Lytechinus pictus: one gene and its partner. The protein of the gene in region 1 purifies or fractionates together with the protein of each later gene. This does not show direct contact. Links are inferred from orthologs where the notes say so. Each region holds a gene or a part of one and is shown on either strand. Other genes may lie near its edges.

Region 1 (10,533 bases):
TAGGCCTACATTCAACATTTAATTTCACATGCATTGGATCATGAAAGAACATGCATAACATAAATCTTCATTATTCATCACAAACGAAAGTGAAACATATTTCAGAAAAAAAAAATAAATCATGAAAAAAATAGAATAACAAAGAATATTAATATAATGAAAAAGACAAAATAACAAAAATATTACAAACATTTTCAACACCTGAAATCAAAGTGAAAAATAAGGAACAATTTACACTGTAATATGTGCTGGAATGGAAGCATCTACTTGGAATCATTCTGCTTGGTGGAATTATTTTAGTTCACAACCCAACCCCTGCTTAACATGCCCCTACACACTTTTTCAATCAATCATCACATGCAACCTAAGTGCACTGATGTATCTAAGGGAAATAATGCCACAAGAATTTTGAAATTGAATGTCAATTTTCAGAGATGCGACTCCAACCTTGAATTCTTTCTTCTTTTTGCTCTTAGTTTTGGCCTCTCCTTCAGAATCATCACTGCCATGGTGGTCACTCACCTACATGCAAAAACAAGCCAAAACCACAAGCAAGAAAGATATTAATCCAAACCAAAAATGATGAAAATGTAACATAGACAGTATTCAATGGGGTCATGAAGTGATCACAAAGCATGTACACTGTGCAGTCAAACTAAATATTATTATTTTTTAAATACACGGAGCCTAGGGACGAATCCCCCCCCCCCAAAAAAAAAAAATGCTCAAAATAGCACTGAAAACTTGAATATGGATCCATGGAAAATCCCCAATCATTGCAGTGTTAAAGCTTATTGAATGTTGCACATTCATGCAGTATATGTGAAAAGAAGCCACAGGAAGAAGAAACAAAATTTGCCTGTCTTTAAGTGACATTTTCACCTTAAAATCAATTGCATGTGCATGTACTTGTCTATCTCAAACATCTAACATTAAAGGGTCTTTAAAGATTGAGTTTTAAACCTACATAAGGACTGCAAAACTTACTGGCAGCAAACCACAAATCGTTGTGTTGGTGCAAGAACACTCTTAACTCCACACTTTTACACATTGCATGCAAGCAAAAACGCCCTTAGCAGCACGTACATGTATAAGAGCATTGCGTAAGGATGTTCTTGCACTGACACAGCGAAATGTCTGTGTACATGTACAGTACCAGTCACAATTCTTTGAATCACTATTCCCTGTTTCAACCAGAGAACAATAGATTTGGTCCACTGATTCTATTGTTCTCTGGCCGAAACAGGTAACAGTGAGTCAAAGAATTGTGTACTTGATAGACTACATGACAAAACTGCTGCCATGACAAATAAAAACATTCAAAGCATACATTCAATGGATTTGAGTGCAGAGTGCAGATTAAAAACACTATCATCTTGTAAATGAGAATCCTGTGAGGACTCATGCGTTTTGTTAACACTTTCATCATGAAACTGCTTAAGAACAAATATAAATGGACCTTAATTTTTTTTAAAGATACGGTGGACTGTACATACATGTAGAAGGAACTGCCTAAAAAGAATTGTGAAATAATGGCAAATAAATGTGCACTTAAGAATTAATAGTTTTCATGTATTATATGATCATGATTCATTGTAAGATTTTGGTGATTAGGAATTGATACTATTTTGCTGCACATGACTAACATACAGAAAAGAGAAGATTTATGATTAAGGAACTACATGTACTGTACATGTATAAACATGTAGCTTGGACAATTCTGCTACATTTTTCCTTCATACATGTATCTATAGTACATGTATTAGAATACTTGAAGAGCAATAATTGACAGCACTTTTATACATAAAAATTTACTTCCCTCTTTACAAAGCTCAAATTATTTTATTTTTTTAGTTCAATTCCACAAAAAGCAATTTTAATAGAAAAATAAATCAAATATACATGTCATTGTAAAATATTGAGATAACTTGGATATTTTTTTTTTAATTCTTAAATTGAATCAAACATTTATTTCAGAGCATATCTGGAAGGTACATGTGCGGCCACATGCATATTGTATTCTATTAAATATGTAATTGTTGAGAAATTGGTTTGATACAAGAAAAGAAATATTAAAAAATACTACCGGTACTAAAAATTAACATCTTGACACTTTTATTGTAGATTAAAGTTTTAAGTAAACTATCAGTTTTTTATTTTGGATCGATCTCAAAAAATCATCTCTGTGATTTATGGTATTGTTTCATTCTAGATGATTTTTTTTAAGGGAGTAATCTTAAGATTCACCAAAACTTAAATACTTTAATCTAATGTACATGTATGCAACTATGATTTACCGATGACTGAAACTCTGCAAGTGCGATGAATTTAAAACAATAACTACTATATACAGGGCCCTCACAATAAGGTCTTCAAGCAGACATGATGTAGGCCTACCAATCCTTTCAAATTCTTCAGTAAAATGACAATGTGCAAATTAGTGAACAATCTATAAGTGAATGGTAACAGAAACAAATTAAATACAAACTTAATTATAAATGTATGCAAAATTATGTCTTTTTTCATACATGTATGAAGCCTTCAACTCAAGAAAATTTAATTTCTAATAATGAATTAGATATTCCACATCTACAACTTGTACATATTTATTCAAACTAATACAAAAGTGATCAACAGCATGTATTAGTCACCAACAATAAAGATGAAATGCATGCAATAAATTAAAAACAGGGCCCGCTTTGACTGAAACGCATGAACAAATTACCTCACTATCTCTCTTGCGTTTTTTAGATTTTCCATCCTTTCTTTTGTCCTTCTTATTCTTTTTACTTTTTTTCTTCTTTGGTGGGGTATCCCCATCTGTAAGAAAAAAAAAATTTACAAAAAAATGTTGACAAAATGTGCATCACTACAATTGAAATTAAACACTAAAATATTTTCAAGTTTAGCGGACTGGAAATTGCCATTTTAACCGAATGCCATGTACCGGTAGATATTCTGAAGTTAGAAATTTATTTAGAATCATAAACAACTTGATGAACATGTACTGTGTAGGATAACCCAATAATAACTTGCTACAAAGAATGAAATATATAATATATGAACAAATTTTCAGTCAAAATATTGCTTTCCTAAAATATTCTTTTTCAGTCAGACATTGTATTTTGCATTGGCAAGCGCAAGCAGCTAGCCGCAACTAATTCACTCACACAGCTGTTTTCATACATGTGTACAACACAGCAAGCAACACACGCTAAAAGCTATTCACGTGTAAGCTACACGCTACTACACACACACACACATGCTTTGTCAAGCACGGGCAGCGCAGACAAACCACACAGGCTCATTCATTCACCGTGCGAAAATGAACAGATTGATAATTATCTTCATAACTAATCCGCTTGCGGCTCTTCGCAAAAAGCTCTAATTTTCACAACTTTTTCAGTCCAAATCAAGAAAAATAATACCAGCAGAGTAAAACTAAATTGTCATAGCATAACATGGACACACATTTCTTAGGATTTGGCGCCGGGAGTTCAAAAAAGTGTTATTGGAAGATCGCCGGTGTTTTAGCGTTCGCTAGAGACGATGATCGATCACGTCGTTATTTTAGTTACGATGATCGGCGGACCTTGACCAATCTCGGATATATTGCTTAAAAATCACGATTTCGAGCTGAAAATTAACACGAGCATTCTTGGAAACCTAAAGAATTGTTAGATACACCATAAACTATGCCACAACAAAATTTGAAAGAAAACCAATCACTGTATCACACTCATAAAAATCGTCAATATCATCGATATTTTCAATAATCATTCACATACCGAACTCGGCCTGTTCGCCTCCCTCGTTGATGGCCCCACTCTCACCGGTCGTGTCTAAATCATATCCATAATCTTCCGTTTCTTCGTCCTTTTTGGCAGCTCCTGGCATTTTGGAATGATGTGAGAATATTCCGCGAACGGAATCCTCCAGCCAGAATACTCACACCCTGTCCCAAAGTGATGAAGAAAATCCGGGTTACCGAAAGGGGAGGAAGTCGGAAGATGGCGGAGACAAAACTTACCCCCTCGACAAAAGGGTAGTAAATCGTTAATTGCACATGCGCATAATGACGTCAGTGGCCCTTACTTCCATCCCATAATAATTACTTCTCCATCCCATAATAGTTACATCTTAGTTAATGGCATAGGCTAAGGATAGCTTACTACTGGGATATGTAAGATGTGTTTGGGGTGATTTTGGAGGGGACATATTTGAGTTATGATGAACTTGACAACAACATACCCTTATTCAATGAAGCATTATAAATTGACATTGTTTACAACACTCGGCTTATAATGCGTGTTTCTTTACAAAATGTACCTTATTTACATATCTGAAGCCTGCGTGGTATATATATGTTTCCGCATTAACATAATTTCATGAAAGTTCGGAGGCGCGGTCTTCCACGGCTCACATTCATATATTGACATTTTGACAGTTTTTATTTCAGCAAATCTTGTAGTGATAGTGGGAGATTTCTTTTCGAATCGAATTTAGGACATTGCAATTGAAATGTTTAAAACATTCTTACTATGTTCTTCGCCCAGTAAAGTACATCACCCTTTTGAATTTCTTCATTTCGTTCTTTGGGCCTACTCAGCAAAGGCATGAAAAATAATTTGAACTTTTTTATTTTCTTTCTTCGTTCAGCAAACTGGAACTTAGAGCTCATTTATACCCTACAGGCCATATGCATGCATTATGGAGACAGTGAAATGTTTTAAACTTGTTCATCTTGTTCTTCGCTGGGCAAAATCTTCCTCCATTTAAACTTTCCAATTTCGCTCTTTCGATCTGCAAATAGTTTCAACTTAGGAAAGTTTTAAAACTTTTTCATCCGCTTTGAACTCATACCCATGCAAAATTAAACTTTTTCGTTTTTCTTCGCTTAGGCTGAGGCTATAGGGGAGGCTCAGCTCCTTAAGACACTGATACTTTTTTGTCAGTCTCTTAACTGTACAACCAAACATCATAGTTTAAACTTTCTCATTCTGTTTGGTGTTCAGCAAAGTTGTACTCATTAGTTTAAAACTACCTTTCAACAATCAACCGTCTCATTTGAATTATAGGTTCAGATTTCTTTTATAACCTCGGTTTATCCCGAAGATACTCCTCATTCAGAACTTTGGTATGGTATATTATACATTTGCTTTGTAAGAACATGGACCTACTAGGGTCCATGGTAAGAATAATGCCAAATTCATGCAATGATCGATGTGCCATGTCAATCCGTGACAGGCTCCTTATCTATACTACCACATTTCACGGCTATAGCTGGTTCCATTTTACATGTTTTACTTAGGCAATTATGTATAAAAATCTAACATTTTTTGTAAAGCAAATTAACTCATTATCACCTCGTTGCATCGACGGGAATAATTGTTCGAGAAATGTTCCAACAATTATGTTTAAGCTTTCTTGAAACTTAAGTTCTTCGCACACCGATGCCCGATACAATAGATCCAGCTATCATCTTGATCATTTCCTACAGAAATTCTAATGTTCTTTCCTCAACTCATATATATGGATTTATGTCTATATGTCTACATAAAAATGTAAAACGTTTTCTGAATTAAATTGACTTATACATCACATTTTGTAGAATGTTGTAAAAGCCTAGCTGCTTTTACAACTTTTGCTCATTCTCCTGAAGTTTCAAATTTTTTGGTATGATTGAGGATTGTCTCATTCTCGTGAAGACGGTATATAAGAACACACTACACCTGTCGAAAAGTCGAGTTTGGGTAGTAATTTTCAAGACCAACATATATGCCCACACACTCTTCTTCTTCGCCATGCCAGGGAAACCTTCAGCAGTTACATCACCTTTTTATTGTTTCTTCCTCTTTTTTTTTTTTTTATAAATCCCCTTCATTTTTCTCCTTCCCCCTATACTACTTGAAAAGTCATATAATGCGGCGATGGCCCCTGCTCCCATTTGAGGCGCCGCCTCCCCCTAAAATTTTGAATACAGCGAAGCATTATGAGGTGGGTCGTCTTGTTTCCCGCGGCCCCTATAAAGTCACAAAAATATCAAGAAATCGTAGCGTTTGGCAATAACTGATTGGTCTAGAATAAGCCAATTTCCCCTCTCTTAAGAGAATACCACACTGGCGTACAGATGAGGGGCTTGGGGTTCTGAACCCCCCCCCCCATTTTTTTTTTTTTTTTTCAAGACCAAGAAAAAAAAAGGAAAAAGGGAAGGGTGAAGTATGATATTATTTTCTTAACATTATGGCGGCGATCCTGGGGGCGGGGGGAGGGGCTCAGTGCCCTCCACTTTTTGGAGCACTGAAAGTGCCCTTTTAAGCGAGAAAAAATGTCCCCTCACGAACGTGTTCTGTGCCCCTTTCACCTGAGAAAGACCCGTTTGTGTGTTAACGAGTACTCCCTTGCCTTTTTGTAAGTGGCCTTTCTCGAATCGGTGCCAAGAAAAGTGCCACTCATGAACGTGTTCTGTGTCCCTTTCAACTGAGAAGGACCCGTTTTATGTGTTAACGAGTGCCCCTTTGCCTTTTCATAGCCTCATTATAGGTGCCTGTTATTCAAATAAGTTGTTCTTAAAAAGCACTCTTTTCGTGCCCGATGAGCGCCAGGTTTCTCTATTTAGCTTTCTTAATGTGATTAATGCGCCAAATCCAATCTACAGAGTGCCCAAGGCGCATGGTATATGGATTCTTCTCCCTTCTGCAAACGGTGCATCCTTATTTAATCGCATAATCCCTTTCAAAATATGATTTGCCCCTTTCGCTAATTTATGTTACTACTTATATGAAGGAAAGAATTTGTAAGAGTAACCCTGTGTGCATAAAGTTTCATGAGTCATGTGAGTGGGGTATATAAGTCTTTTTTCCCCTTTGTTTTAGGAAAGTGCCCTTTTCGAAAGAAAAGTTTTAACTTTTGAATACAAAATTAATTTTGCAGTAGATTTTTACATATAGTATTCAGAAAATTATATTATCGTTTTTTTTATTCCACTTTCCCTTTCTTTATTTTTCTCCTTTTTTGTGGGGGGGGGGGGGTCCATGCACCCAAGGCCCCCCCCCCCCATCTGTATGCCAGGGACTGAAGGTGATAGCATATACCAGCCTATAATCACGACGGCCTTGTATGAGATACATTGGCCCTACACTGTATAAACACTGTTTAAAATTTTAAGCACGTTGTTTAAGTCCATCACTCTAACTATATAGTTTAAACTTTGTAAACAACTGTTGAAAAATATTTATAAACAACTGTTTAAACTTTTTAAACAACTATTTAAACTTTTTAAAGTTTAAAAAGTTTAAACAGTTGTTTAAAAAGTGTAAACAATTACAAATAAAGTTTAAACAACTTGTTGTTAGAGTGACAGGCTTAAACAATATATAAGCTTCTTTTTTTTTACTGTGTATATTAGTGAAAATATAATTCTCTCTGGTTTATTGCCACAATGCCCATAACCATGGCAACGCTGTTATTTGATTGACACTTTCGAAAAATGTAAATTTTACATGCATCTTCTCTCCAAAACAAGTGGGAATACTGCTGGACCAGCATTATGTGGGCATATATCCCTAGTTGTCATGTTCATGATTCTTTCAGATCTTACATTCTAATCTGGGGCCCGTAACACAAAGCTTAGCAATGATCGTAGAACATTTTTCTACGATTGGTTCCATTGAATATAATGTACAATCAATCATAAAAATCAAGCGTACGATTAATCGCTAACCTTTGTGTTACGGGACCCAGGCGTTTCTGTCTAGCTCCTCTATAACTTATTCCATATTGGCATCAATCTTGTAGCCCCTCACGACCATATCATCTTTTTTTTTGACCTATTCCATAATGTTTTTTTTTCACTTGCGGGCGTATGTGCCTTCTAATTATCATTCTGGTTGTTTGCTTGCAAGCATTCATGCTTTCTTAGCAATCAGGTAAAAAAAAATCACCACCACCACCAACAAATATATTATTAAAGGACAAGTCCACCCCAACAAAAAGTTGATTTGAATAAAAAGAGAAAAATCCAACAAGCATAACACTGAAAATTTCATCAAAATCGGATGATAAATAAAAAAGTTATGACATTTTAAAGTTTCGCTTAATTTCACTAGACATTTATATGCACATCATGCATGGTCGGTATGCAAATGAGGAGACTGATGACATCATCCACTCACTATTCCTTTTGTATCTTATGAAATATTGTAATTTTCTCCTCATTGTCAAGTGAAACAATGATTAATTCCTCCCTGAACACGTGGAATTAGCATTGTTTAATACTATATCGTTCTGTCAGGTTTGTCCTTATTGTCAAATCTGTAAAAAATGAAATATTGTATAATTCAAACAATAACAAAAACAAAAGAAATAGTGAGTGATGGACATCATCGACTGTCTCATTTGCATGTCACTGAGATGTGCATATCACTGTTTTATGAAATATAAGTGAAACTTTAAAATGTTATAACTTTCTTATTTTACATCCGATTTTGATGAAATTTTCAGCATTACGCTAGTTTGATTTTTCTCTGTTTATTCCAATCAACATTTTTCGGGGTGGACTTGACCTTTAATTTAATGAGTTTTAATTTGGGGTTGTAATTTTTCTTTCCAGCAATCTGCTTATAATTACAATCCTAGTCCTGCAAATTGTGAATGTTGATAGTTTAGTTGAATATTTATACTATTAAATATAAAACAATTAAACTTCGCATTAAAGTACTTTTAAACATAATTATTGTGTGTGGTCTCTCATTGTCTGTGTGTTATAAATACATAGTCTTAAAATATACATTTTCAGATATCTACTACAGAGAATAAATTGACCTATAATTGTTTTTATAGAGAGAAACTTAAATGTTTTGAAAGGAAAAGTAATTGTTTTGCAACTTGGTAACATAATTATTGCGGTATAAATGTATTGAGTAGTTAATTAGCATGTTATCATTCAAGTGGGTCTATATTACTAGACTACACTAGTATTATGGGTCAGGAAAATGGCCAGGTATGAGTAGTTGAGGACTCAAGATGGCGCTATTGGTTCGTATCTGCTTTAATGCGAAGTTTCATTGTTTTACTGTGCTTTAAAATGTTTTTTAAAAACATAATTTGTACTGCATTATTATATATTTTTTTCAACTTATATGCACTTATGTCTCCTCCATCCTAAAAATAAACTTTGCATTAAAATACTACTAAACATGTGTTTTATAATGCGAAGTTTAATTGTTTTAATGTGCTTTTTAATGTTTTTAACATAATTTGAAATGTTTTTTTTTTATACAAGTTGTCACAATTATTGGGGGGGGATGATAAAGTTTGCCCCAATATTTTCATTGGGGACAATCGCCCCTGCACCCCCCCCCCCCCGATCGACGCCTCTACCACATATCACATACACCGGGTGCCATTTTATAAAGAGTACAACAATGGTAACTTCGCCATTTCGGAAACTATACAGGTCATTTTTATAAGTGCTTTTTTGTATTTTTCATGACAATTTCTCTTCGCTCTTTCCATAATATGTATTTTTGTTCAAATTTCAATTTTACAGTAGCATTAAAAGACGAGTCCACCCCAACAAAGAGTTAATTTGAATAAAAAGAGAAATCCAACAAGAATAACACTGAAAATTGTATTATCTTATCTGTCAGTTACTTGTAAAATATGAACCTGTTCGAAATCTTAGATCACTTCATAATGATTTATATAACGTACCCGTTTTATGGCGAACGGGGGTTGCTCATGCAGCGCCGGAACTCTGGAATAGTATCCCACACAATTTAAGGCAAGTTGATACAATTGGGCAATTTAAATCTGCATTGAAAGCATATTTATTTAACTGAAAAGAATATTATCAAAGCATCACCAGCAGTCTTCCCTCTTCTTTTTCCTAAAGCGCATTGAGACCTTTGTAAGGTGTAATGCGCTATACAAAAGCTGTTCTATTAAAATTTCATCAAAATCGGATGTAAAATAAGAAAGTTATGACATTTTGAAGTTTTGCTTAATTTCACAAAACAGTTATATGCACATCCTGGTCGGGATGCAAATGAGGAGACTGATGACGTCATCCACTCACTGTTTTTCTCTGATTATAATTAATCAACATATTTCTGGGCATGTGGACTTGACCTTTAAGACTGATACATCCCTTGTAAATTTGTACCTGAAGAGCGCAATTGATTGCAAATATTTTCTTGCAGCACCCCCTGAGACTTATCAACTCCCAAGTCTTATTTTAAAACCGATTTTGAGAAAACTACTTAGAATCATACTGATCCTTTAATTTTATTCTTTCGTCTCAGATTGATTCTCTCCTTGGATTTGGGTTTCCTCTAAACCCACTTGGTCATCAACCACCCAATGCCTAGATGGTGTACTTCCCACTTTTTGTCTAATTACTATTTTGCACTTTGTCAAATATAACTTGGTTTAAGGGTTGGTCCAGGCTGGGGATATTTAAATCTCAATGGAGAACAATTCACAGAGCAAAATGCTGAAAATTTGATCAAAATCGGATACCAAATAACGAAG
Region 2 (10,062 bases), on another chromosome or scaffold:
TAGCCAACACACAGAAAGGAAAAGAAAGGAAATCAATGAAAGAACGAAGATAGCCGATAGTTTTTAAAATTCAATAGGTATGACAGAAGCTACGGTGTCCCTTAGAATGAACATCACTAGCATTTTCAACTGGTGTTGGGACCCGGTGTTGGGAGACAAAATAAGTTCATTTGCTTTCCCGAAGTCAAGTCTATCCAGCCCCCCCCCCCTTCCAAGTAATTTTTTTAATAAAATGGCACCGGCCGGCCGCCTAGGACTTTTTAATCAGAATTTAATGCATACGAACTCGTAGGCGGATCTAGGGGCAGGACCTAGGCCCCCTATTGGCAAGGCAAAAAAAAAAGGAAAAAAAGGGGGAAAGGGGAAAAAAGGAGAAAGAAGGGAAAGAGATGGGGAAAAGAGGTAAAAAAAGGAGGAGAAGACGAGTGGGCATGCCGACGAGTGAATAAGGTGAGGGGAAGACTTGGAAATTATTATTTTTTTTAAATCTTTCATATACAATTTTCGCTCGCGCTTCGCGCTCGCATTGTATGTTCGATGAGATACATATCTTAGTCAATAGACTGATATGGAGCTCAAATCAAGTTTTGAAGTCAATATACAAAACATTCAGCTCGGACAGCGAGCTTTCATTATTTTGTTTGATTTACAAATTGATTTTTAAAAAGTAATCTGTAAAATGTCTGTTTTATTGTCCGAGTATCAACATTTTCATTTTAAGAATTGTCAAGTACCCAGTGGTGTACCGTGGGTCACAGCATTGGGGGGGGGGCACCAGCAAAAATTTTGAGTCACTTATTGGTCGTGCGAAGTGCGCTAGTTGCCCGGTTGTGACCTAGAGACATTTTAAGGTCTGTGCCATTAAACGGATATATGTATCTCATAATGCGAGCGCGTAGCGCGAGTTGATTTTTTAATATAGATATTAAGACCTAAAAAAGGAGTAAGCAAATTTTTGTGATTATGATACATATCCTGTCTTATTATACAAACAATGCGAGCGCGATCTGTAACATTTCTATATATTGACCCCAAACAGGGTTATTTTAAGGACTATTTCTTTTAGGAATTCATGAAGAGCATACATATCTCATAATCTCACCATATAGTGCTGATTTTGTCAGAAACACATGAAGCACTCATTGTAGTCATGTAATCATGAACATGGTATGCATCTCAAATATTGCAAGCGTGAAGCGCGAGCTGAAAATATTTGAAATTCAGATATGAAGAGGGGCAGTCTAAGGCTTGAATTTAAGAATCATTAAGACCATATACGTATTTCATTAACAAAATGGAGCGAGCGCGAAGCGCGAGCTGAAATTTTTTGAAATTCAGACATGAAGAGGGGCAGTCTAAGGCTTGATTTTAAGAATCATATTAAGACCATATACGTGGCATTAACCAAATGGTGCGAGCGCGAAGCGCGAGCTAAACATTTTTGATATTCAGACCAGAAATAGGGGCATTTAAGGACTATTTTTAGGAATTCATAAAGAGCACACATATCTCACCAATCCACTAATGTGTACGTAAGCGGACTTGAAATGTTTTATATATTCGGACCTTAAAAGGGGCAATCACTTTTAGTATGGTCATGAAAAAAAACATGTCACGATAAAAATCAATAATAACTCGAAGTGCAAGGATATTATGTTTGGCGTACATTGACGTGAAAACAGGATGTTTTGTAATACAACAGGATTGATTGAACAGACAATGCGAACACCATGCAGGGAAGACCCTTAGCAATAATGTTTCATTATTAAAGTTATGACAAAAAATCTTATGTAATATTTTGTAATATAGTATAATATATATAAAATAATATAATACAATATAATTTCTTCTCCTCCCACTACATTTCTTTTTCCTCTTCCCTCTTTTTCTCCTTTTCTTCCGTTTCTTTTTTGCCAGCCGATTGGGGGGGGGGGGGGCGCGTGCCCTTCCCTCGTAGTTACGCCACTGCAAGTACCTTTATCTTTGTGTATTCCAAAACCTATCAGCTAGCACTGCTCGCGCTCGCATTTTGATTGGTGAGTAATGTATATCGTATAAATTATATAACAAACTATTTATAAAATCCCCTTTTCATGACAGTTTATCAAAAATTTTGGCTTGTGATTCGAAAGAGCATATCACGAATATGGGCACAATTTTGAGCAAGATGAAATTGATTTGTTTATTTATGGATGAGTGAGCACCCATCAAAAGGACAAAAATGACAATAAGTCACAGACTCATTTTGAAGCGTTGTAATTCAAATTCAAATTGTTTTATTCTCTCAGTAAAACCTTACATAAAAAACAAATATAATACAAAGTTAAAATACATGTATATTACAAATCGAAAGACGGTCAAAAAATTGCATTATGGTTCAGAATCATATTGAGGGGTAGCAGCCTAAAAGGAAAAAATCCTTATAATTAGGCCGACCCATTATTAAAACGAAAAGGTGACATAGAAAATGCAATAACAGGGATACAGCAAAAACATTTCTAAAAACAAACAAAATAACTTAAAAATGCACATAAACAATGAACCAAGACATCAAAAAGTGCCATGCCCTAACATAATATTACAATAATTATAATAATACAAGTGAAATACATAATTCATACATCATTCAGCCACTGTATTTCTCAAGAAGGTATCTTTTGAACTTTGTTTTGAATACATTAAGTGTTTTTGCATTACGTATTTCATCTGTTAGTGAATTCCAAACTACAGGACCTTGATAAATGATTGATTGGTGTGACAGTGACGTTCTTATTTTAGGAAGATGAAAATTATTTGCATTTCTCATAGGATAAGAATGTATATTGCAATTCAAGTTAAAATATTCTAATAGAGAAGTGGGTAAAAGTTTCCGATAACATAAAAACATAAAGATTCCAAGCTGGTATTGATATATGTCATAAATGTTTAAAAGTTTTAGATTATAAAATATGGGTGAAGTATGGGCTAAAAAAGATGAATGATTAACTATTTTTATTGCACGTTTTTGTAATTTAAACAGTCTATCGAGATAAATTTTGGCTGCACTTCCCCATGTAAACTTCCTATGCAGGGGGCGCGGAAGCGGGGGGGGGCGGCTGGGGGGCCCTCCATTTTTTTCCAAAACCGTGTACAAAAACGTAAAAATTACCATATGATTGTGATTTTTTGCATGGTCAGCCCCCCCCCCCCAATTTGGCTCAGCCCGGAAACCGTTCCGCGGCCCCTGCTATGGGGGCAAATTCTGTTTCAACTGTGACTTATAATTGCTGTTGCTTTTAATCATCCATTATCACCACACACTATATCTCCGAACTTTTTACACTTTCATGATTGATTGATTGATTGATAACGAATTTATTTCATTCCAAAATTTTAACAAGGTTACAAAGTAAAGAAAAATATAATATAACATTATGAAATGAAATAGAAACCTTCTGAAAAGCAAAGCTTGTTATTAAAGGTTTCTTTCAATGAATAAGACAAATTAATGCAAAATACAAAGTTCAATATATATATATAATATACAAATACATTGGTGAGCGAGCACACTGAAAAACTTGGGAATGATTACTCTTACTCCCGGGCTCTTACTACTACATAAATGCATTCTTTTCTGACAGTTTCTCAAGATCAGTTGAATTTAGGGACAAATTATTTGTCTGGATCCAGAATTTGAAAATGCACATGGGGGAGGGAGTGGAGAAATTGGGAAGGGACGCCACTAACATTTTCCATTTAACTTTTTTTTAAAGTTATAAAAGGCACTACCATCATAAACCTTTATGATAATAAGTCACAAAAATATTATGTTCACTCAACCATGAAAACCATGAATATACGTTACCAACATTTTGTGTGGATTGGTTATGGATAATCGCTGATGTGGTTTACGGTACACCATGTGAAGTGTTGTAGAAACAGTGGATAGGAGAAGAGAAGAAATGGATAGGCGAGAAAGTGGAGATTTGAGAGTAGAGTATTCTTTCTTGAAAGTAGTCCTGAAAAGGACTGTAAACCAGGAAAGATTGATGAGTTGAGAACAGCTTGAGTAGTAGAGCTAGTGAGGAGATGCTGGCTTGAGTCGGCGAGTAGAGATGATGAGCAGTAGAGAGACTCAAATCTCCACTTTCTCGCCTATCCATTTCTTCTCTTCTCCTATCCACTGTTTCTACAACACTTCACATGGTGTACCGTAAACCACATCAGCGATTGTACATACCACCATGCAAACCTTCAAACAACATCTGGTTATAGATAGTAAAAGAGCATATAAGCACCGTAAAGTTCACCAAAAACAAATTTCCCCCAACTGTACTTACACGATCCGAAAAATTGCTCCTTAAAAAAAAATTGTCATATTTACTTAAATTACTCATGACTCAACCAATTAATCTAATTTTTTTTTTCACAGGAGTTGCTCTCTAAGTGAAGTAAACCACCTGCGAAATATTATATCTCAAAATTATTGCGTTCAAAACTAAAGTTACAGCATTTTGATTAAATGGGGACTTACTTTTTTTGTTGAGTATACATGTATACATAAAATCAGCTCGCGTGATTCACGTGTGAAATAATTTGTCTGTTGATATTGCAGGTACAATCACAACCATTCTATTTTTTGAAAATGATATTTCATTGATTTTTTAAATAAATTATACATGAGGAAGTTGCTTGCATATACTAAACTAAAAATAACAAATCATTCTAACAATTTGTATAATCTTTGATGGATTTTCCACAATAAATTCACCAATATTTTTTTTCAATAAATTTATCTGCTACTTTAAAACTTTTTGGCAGAGTACTTCCCCTCCAATAATGTAGGCTACATGTATATGCAAATATAAATGTAATAAATAGGTCTATTGATATTTAAGAGCATATGAAAAAAAATCAATTCAATTTATACATATGGTATTAATAGGCCTACATTTTATATATTGGCCTACCATATAGAATATATTTTATATAATATTATATAGAATATATTTATTTTGAAAATGAAGATCTTAAAAATTCTTGAATATTAAATCTAAAATTGCAATACATACATCTGTTCCCGGTAGGCCTTTAATTGAGACAAAAGCTCCATATTAAAGGTCAAGTCCACCCCAACAAAATGTTGATTTGAATCAATAGAGAAAAATCAGACAAGCACAATGCTGAAAATTTCATCAAAATCGGATGTAAAATAAGAAAGTTATGACATTTCAAAGTTTCGCTTATTTTTAACAAAATAGTTATATGAACGAGCCAGTTACATCCAAATTAGAGAGTCGATGATGTCACTCACTCACTATTTCTTTTGTTTTTTATTGTTTGATTTATACAATATTTCAATTTTTACGAATTTGACGATTAGGACCTCCTTATTGCCTGAACCACAAAATGTTAAAATAATGGAATTCCACGTATTCAGGGAGGAATGAAACTTCATTTCACATGACAATGACGAGAAAATCAAAATATTTCATAATTCATATAATAAAATACAAAAGAAATAGTGAGTGAGTGATGTCATCAGTTCCCTCATTTGCATACCGACCGGGATGTGCATATAACTCTTTTGTCAAATGAAGCGAAATTTTAAAATGTCATAACTTTCTTATTTTACACCCGATTTTGATGAAATTTTCAGTGTTATGCTTGTTGAATTTTTCTCTTTTTATTCGAATCAAGTTTTTGTTGGGGTGGACTTGTCCTTTAATTAGAAAACTCTCAGGAAGAGTTTATTCGCATGCACTTACCTATATCAAGTACGATTCGTAATAGTTCAGTGTTCGCATGGCTATCGGCAGCGAAGTGGTCGAGCGCCATCTAGCGTTAAACCACGTATATAACTACTAGTTAGTTAACCTGCGCGAGTTGGCGAGACGGAAAATCAGACGTGGGGGTGAGCGTCTGCGGCTTCCGCTCGAAAAAGATCTATATTTTCACCATTTCGTCTTAAAAATATAAACTCCAACTACTTTCCAGAATGGCGGCTAACATGTATAGAGTTGGTGGTGAGTATAAGGGAGCAGAAATGTGTATTTTTGGCATGCAGCGACTCTTTTTCACACCGCGACGAGCTAGTCTTGCCCATTCGGACACCATTTTGTTTTAGTTAACTAGCAGCGGGCCGAACACAAAGAAAGGAAAAGACGCGTCGTTTCATGACATGAGGACGCCGATGATGATGGATCTTTTATTGAAAATATGTCAATATAATTCGTCAAATTCATATAGAAACCAAATTTTGTGAACCCCTGGTAATTTTGTGCAATTTTGCAGCAAATTGTAGGTGTCGAGCTGCGGAGCGTGGGCCGCTTAATCCGTTAAACCTTTAAACTTATTAACTTTTAAACCGGGGCTCGTAGAGAATTCTAGTTTTCTTCATTGCCTTTCTTTTATCATTTCAAAGTATGTGCAGCTGATTAATCTTTATTTTCTCCTCTGTATTTTTTTTTCAGGATGGTCTTTCATTTTCACATTTAATTTTTTCACTTTCACAAAGTTTCAGTTTTTACTTTCTCAAATTCATTCATTATTCACTTGATCTAAAAATAAGGCCTTTTCTTTTCTTGGACAGACTTTTCTACATGTACATGTGTTTCATGTTTTGTTTCTGTTTTAAACTTACGCTTACGAAGTTTTGGTAACATTTAGAATTTAATGGTTGAATGAATAAAAAAAAATCAACACTGAATTTTTTGTAAATAGGACTAGGTCTAGAGGTAAAACTTTTGCTTATTTTCGCTATATAGGCCTGATTATCACCCCAAGCTCCAAAGGGTAAATTATTTTCATGTAACTGAAGTCCACAAATTGTTTAGGTAGACTAAATGCATGCGCAACGTTAGATCTTTGCACTATTTTGAGACAAAGTCTTAGACATGGTGATCTTGTATTGAAACAGTAAATACTAAAATAGAACTACTTTTTCTGATTTGGCAGGATTCGGATTCCTCAAACTCCCCCCCTTTTTTTTAATTTACTTTTCTCATTTTCAGTTTCACACAATATTTTATTTCCAATGGTGGATTCCCCTCCCATATATATTTATCTTTGGACAAGTTATTTATTTTATTTTTTATGTGGGGGGGGGGGGGGGGGGGGGTAGGTGGGTCCAGCAGTTGATTTCTTTCAGTGGGATCATGCAAATCAGCATGATGTCATATAAGCTAATTATTGCAAACACTGTAAGCGATACTTGGAAATAAGTTTGAAAATTAAAATTGAATTGTTGTTTAGCTAGAATTATTATCGCTCTTATTGAAATAAATAATGTCATTTATTTTGTGTATTACAGATTATGTCTACTTTGAGACTTCATCATCACAGCCATATCTTATTCGCAGGATTGAAGAACTCAACAAAGTATGTTGTTTTCTTAAACATATATATATATATATTTTTTTTTTTTCTGCTTGTACCACTGTGAATAGTGAATTATACATTTAAAGCTAATGTACATGAGCACTTGGATATACATGCATACCATTGAAAATGTCTTTTCCTTAGTAATTATATTGTAAACTGATTGTATCTTGAAATGAGAAAGTGTGAAACAACATAAATTTGAAAATGAGTGTGGCATGTAGCAGTGCAAAATATGGATGTAAATACTGTATATTACGCTACTGCATGGTGGCAGTATTGTGTAAATCATTTCTAAGCTTTACTGGACACTTGCTGTAGCTTTTTGATTTGCACTACTTGAAGCTAAAGAAGCATAAAATTGAACTCTCCGATTATAAAAATTAATGAGTTTTCTCAGTATTTTGCAAGTTATTGAGATACAAATAAGCAATCTTATGTAAGATATACACCCTGTAAGTAGGCCTTATCTTAAATTGTAGGTTTTTTTAGGCACAGTATATTGCAATTGAAATTTTCACATACATGTATATGAATGTTGTAATTTTATTTCCTATTTGAATTTGGAACATTGATCAGTTAATTTCCATGTATGTCTTCAGAAATATGTGATTTGCAACAATATTTTTATGAAAAAAAAATTAATGGTGCTGTTTTTGATATTTCATTATTTCAGACTGCCAGCGGCAATGTGGAGGCCAAAGTGGTATGTTTCTACCGCCGTAGAGACATTCCCAACTCACTCATCCAGCTTGCTGATAAACATGCAAGTAAGTTTGAGAATAAACTATACAATATGAATAATAAAATTTATGTATATTTTCATTTTGTAAGCACAGATAATTTTTTCTTCATTATTAAAAAAAAGAAGACATTTTTTTAATGATAAAAATTATTGATTTTTCTGAACATTCTGCTAACAGTATATATGTGAGTAAAACAATTCACAAGTATTTAACCACATACCGGTATATCGTTTTGTATACATGTAGCTTGATGGTTTCATATCTTTATTTTTAGACAGTGTTTATAATTTTCCCCATTCATTTTTTTTTTTTTTGTTACAGTGGCTTTGGAGGAAGAACAAGAGGAGGCTTTGGAAGAGTTAAATGAGAAGCAACGTCATCAGTTGAAACATCGTGAACTGTTCTTATCCCGTCAGTTAGAAACGCTTCCAGCTACACACATCAGAGGAAAATGTACAGTCACCCTGCTCAATGAGACAGAGAGTCTCCTCTCGTACTTGTCAAAAGATGTAAGTTCTAAATAGGGGCCTATAGATGCATAACAAATTACTATTCAGTAGCTTTGCCATCTAATGGTAACTTCCCTGAAATCCTTGATTCTGATTGGCTGTTGAAGACTGTAACCATGGTAAGTTACCATTGGATGGCAAAGTTACCATAAAAGTAACTTTCATACAACAGGATCCAGGTCTATTAAAATACAAGACTAATTTTGGAGCATATAATCCCATTTAGTTGTAAAGTGTGATACATATATCTGGTATATAGTTAGCCATTGATAACACTGTTTCTGTTTATATTGAGCTATTGACATATACATTTCTGTTTGCTTTGCAGTGCAGAATGGTGTAGAATGTTATTTGTAGGTTAGGGATAGGTTATGAAGAACTTGACAGTAAAGCTGACACATACATGAGCCACAAGTATTTTGCAATATCTGTTGATTAACATATTCTAAAGATCTATCTACCCTTTCATTGCTCTTGTAAATCATATTTTCAAGATTTTACTTGTTTCCCCAACTTACAATCTTATCAATTTCCACCTTTATCCTTGTTTGTGCCTTTGTAGGATGCATTCTTCTATTCCTTGGTGTATGACCCACAACAGAAGACTTTGCTTGCAGATAAAGGAGAGATAAGAGTTGGTTCTCGCTATCAAGCTGATGTCACTCCACTCCTCACAGAAGGTACAGTCTGCAACTCTATATTCAAACTCATTATTATTTTACTCACTGTAATGGTAACATTATAGGTCACTTTTATATGGCAATATTTTCAGTACTATTATTTCTCAAGTGTTATGATTGATTGATTGAATTTATTCTTGCTGTATATGCATCATCATCATGAACATTACAAATCGTTGCTACATTAGTATAATCAATTAAGCTCTCTTAAACATCTCCAAAACTTTGTGATTTTTTGCAGAAACTTATCATATTTGTGCATTTAGAGTTGTTCAGTTCATCATTTTAGTACTCAAACACAAATTGCATACATTGTTTTCTCAACTAAGGACAGTCAGCAGCCCGCACAGGAGTATGTGTTCGCATTGGTTTATTGAATGGATATTGAATCTAAATTGCTATGTGATGCCATGAGAATTTGTACTCCCTGTCTGTCTCCATATACTCTCATATGTACACAATGTTGGTACTGTCTATGCCCCCACCTTCACAATCTCTTTGCCCCCACCAGGTGAATCGGATGGTCGTGACCTTTCTAGTCTTGAGGCTCTGACGTGGAACCCGGAACACTGCATGAATGATAGAAGCATCGATCAGTTCCTGGTTCTAGCAAGGTGGGTCTGATTTCCATTTAAGATGATTAAAAATAATTACAATGCAATGTAATACAATATTAGCATTCTTATAGTGCTGTTGCAATTAATTAACATACGTCATAGTGCTTAATTGTGGCAATAAGATAAGGGAATATGGCAATAGAATTATTCA

The links.
Region 2: the proteins of chromodomain-helicase-DNA-binding protein Mi-2 homolog (region 1) and metastasis-associated protein MTA3-like fractionate together in Drosophila melanogaster (co-fractionation; 3 studies listed by BioGRID, with this or other methods). This does not show direct contact. The link is inferred for Lytechinus pictus from reciprocal best matches to the Drosophila melanogaster genes Mi-2 and MTA1-like.

The regions. Positions count from the first base shown.
Region 1 is NC_087258.1:16,771,563-16,782,095, forward strand, and holds the start of chromodomain-helicase-DNA-binding protein Mi-2 homolog, read right to left. Parts: upstream 4,078-10,533; 5' UTR 3,898-4,077; coding exon 3,789-3,897; intron 2,821-3,788; coding exon 2,726-2,820; intron 523-2,725; coding exon 448-522; intron 1-447. UniProt on the Drosophila melanogaster protein: ATP-dependent chromatin-remodeling factor which acts in nucleosome-remodeling by catalyzing ATP-dependent nucleosome mobilization. Involved in regulating transcription. Plays a vital role in development.
Region 2 is NC_087251.1:31,514,474-31,524,535, forward strand, and holds the start of metastasis-associated protein MTA3-like, read left to right. Parts: upstream 1-5,839; 5' UTR 5,840-5,977; coding exon 5,978-6,005; intron 6,006-7,291; coding exon 7,292-7,359; intron 7,360-8,035; coding exon 8,036-8,129; intron 8,130-8,426; coding exon 8,427-8,614; intron 8,615-9,176; coding exon 9,177-9,294; intron 9,295-9,805; coding exon 9,806-9,908; intron 9,909-10,062.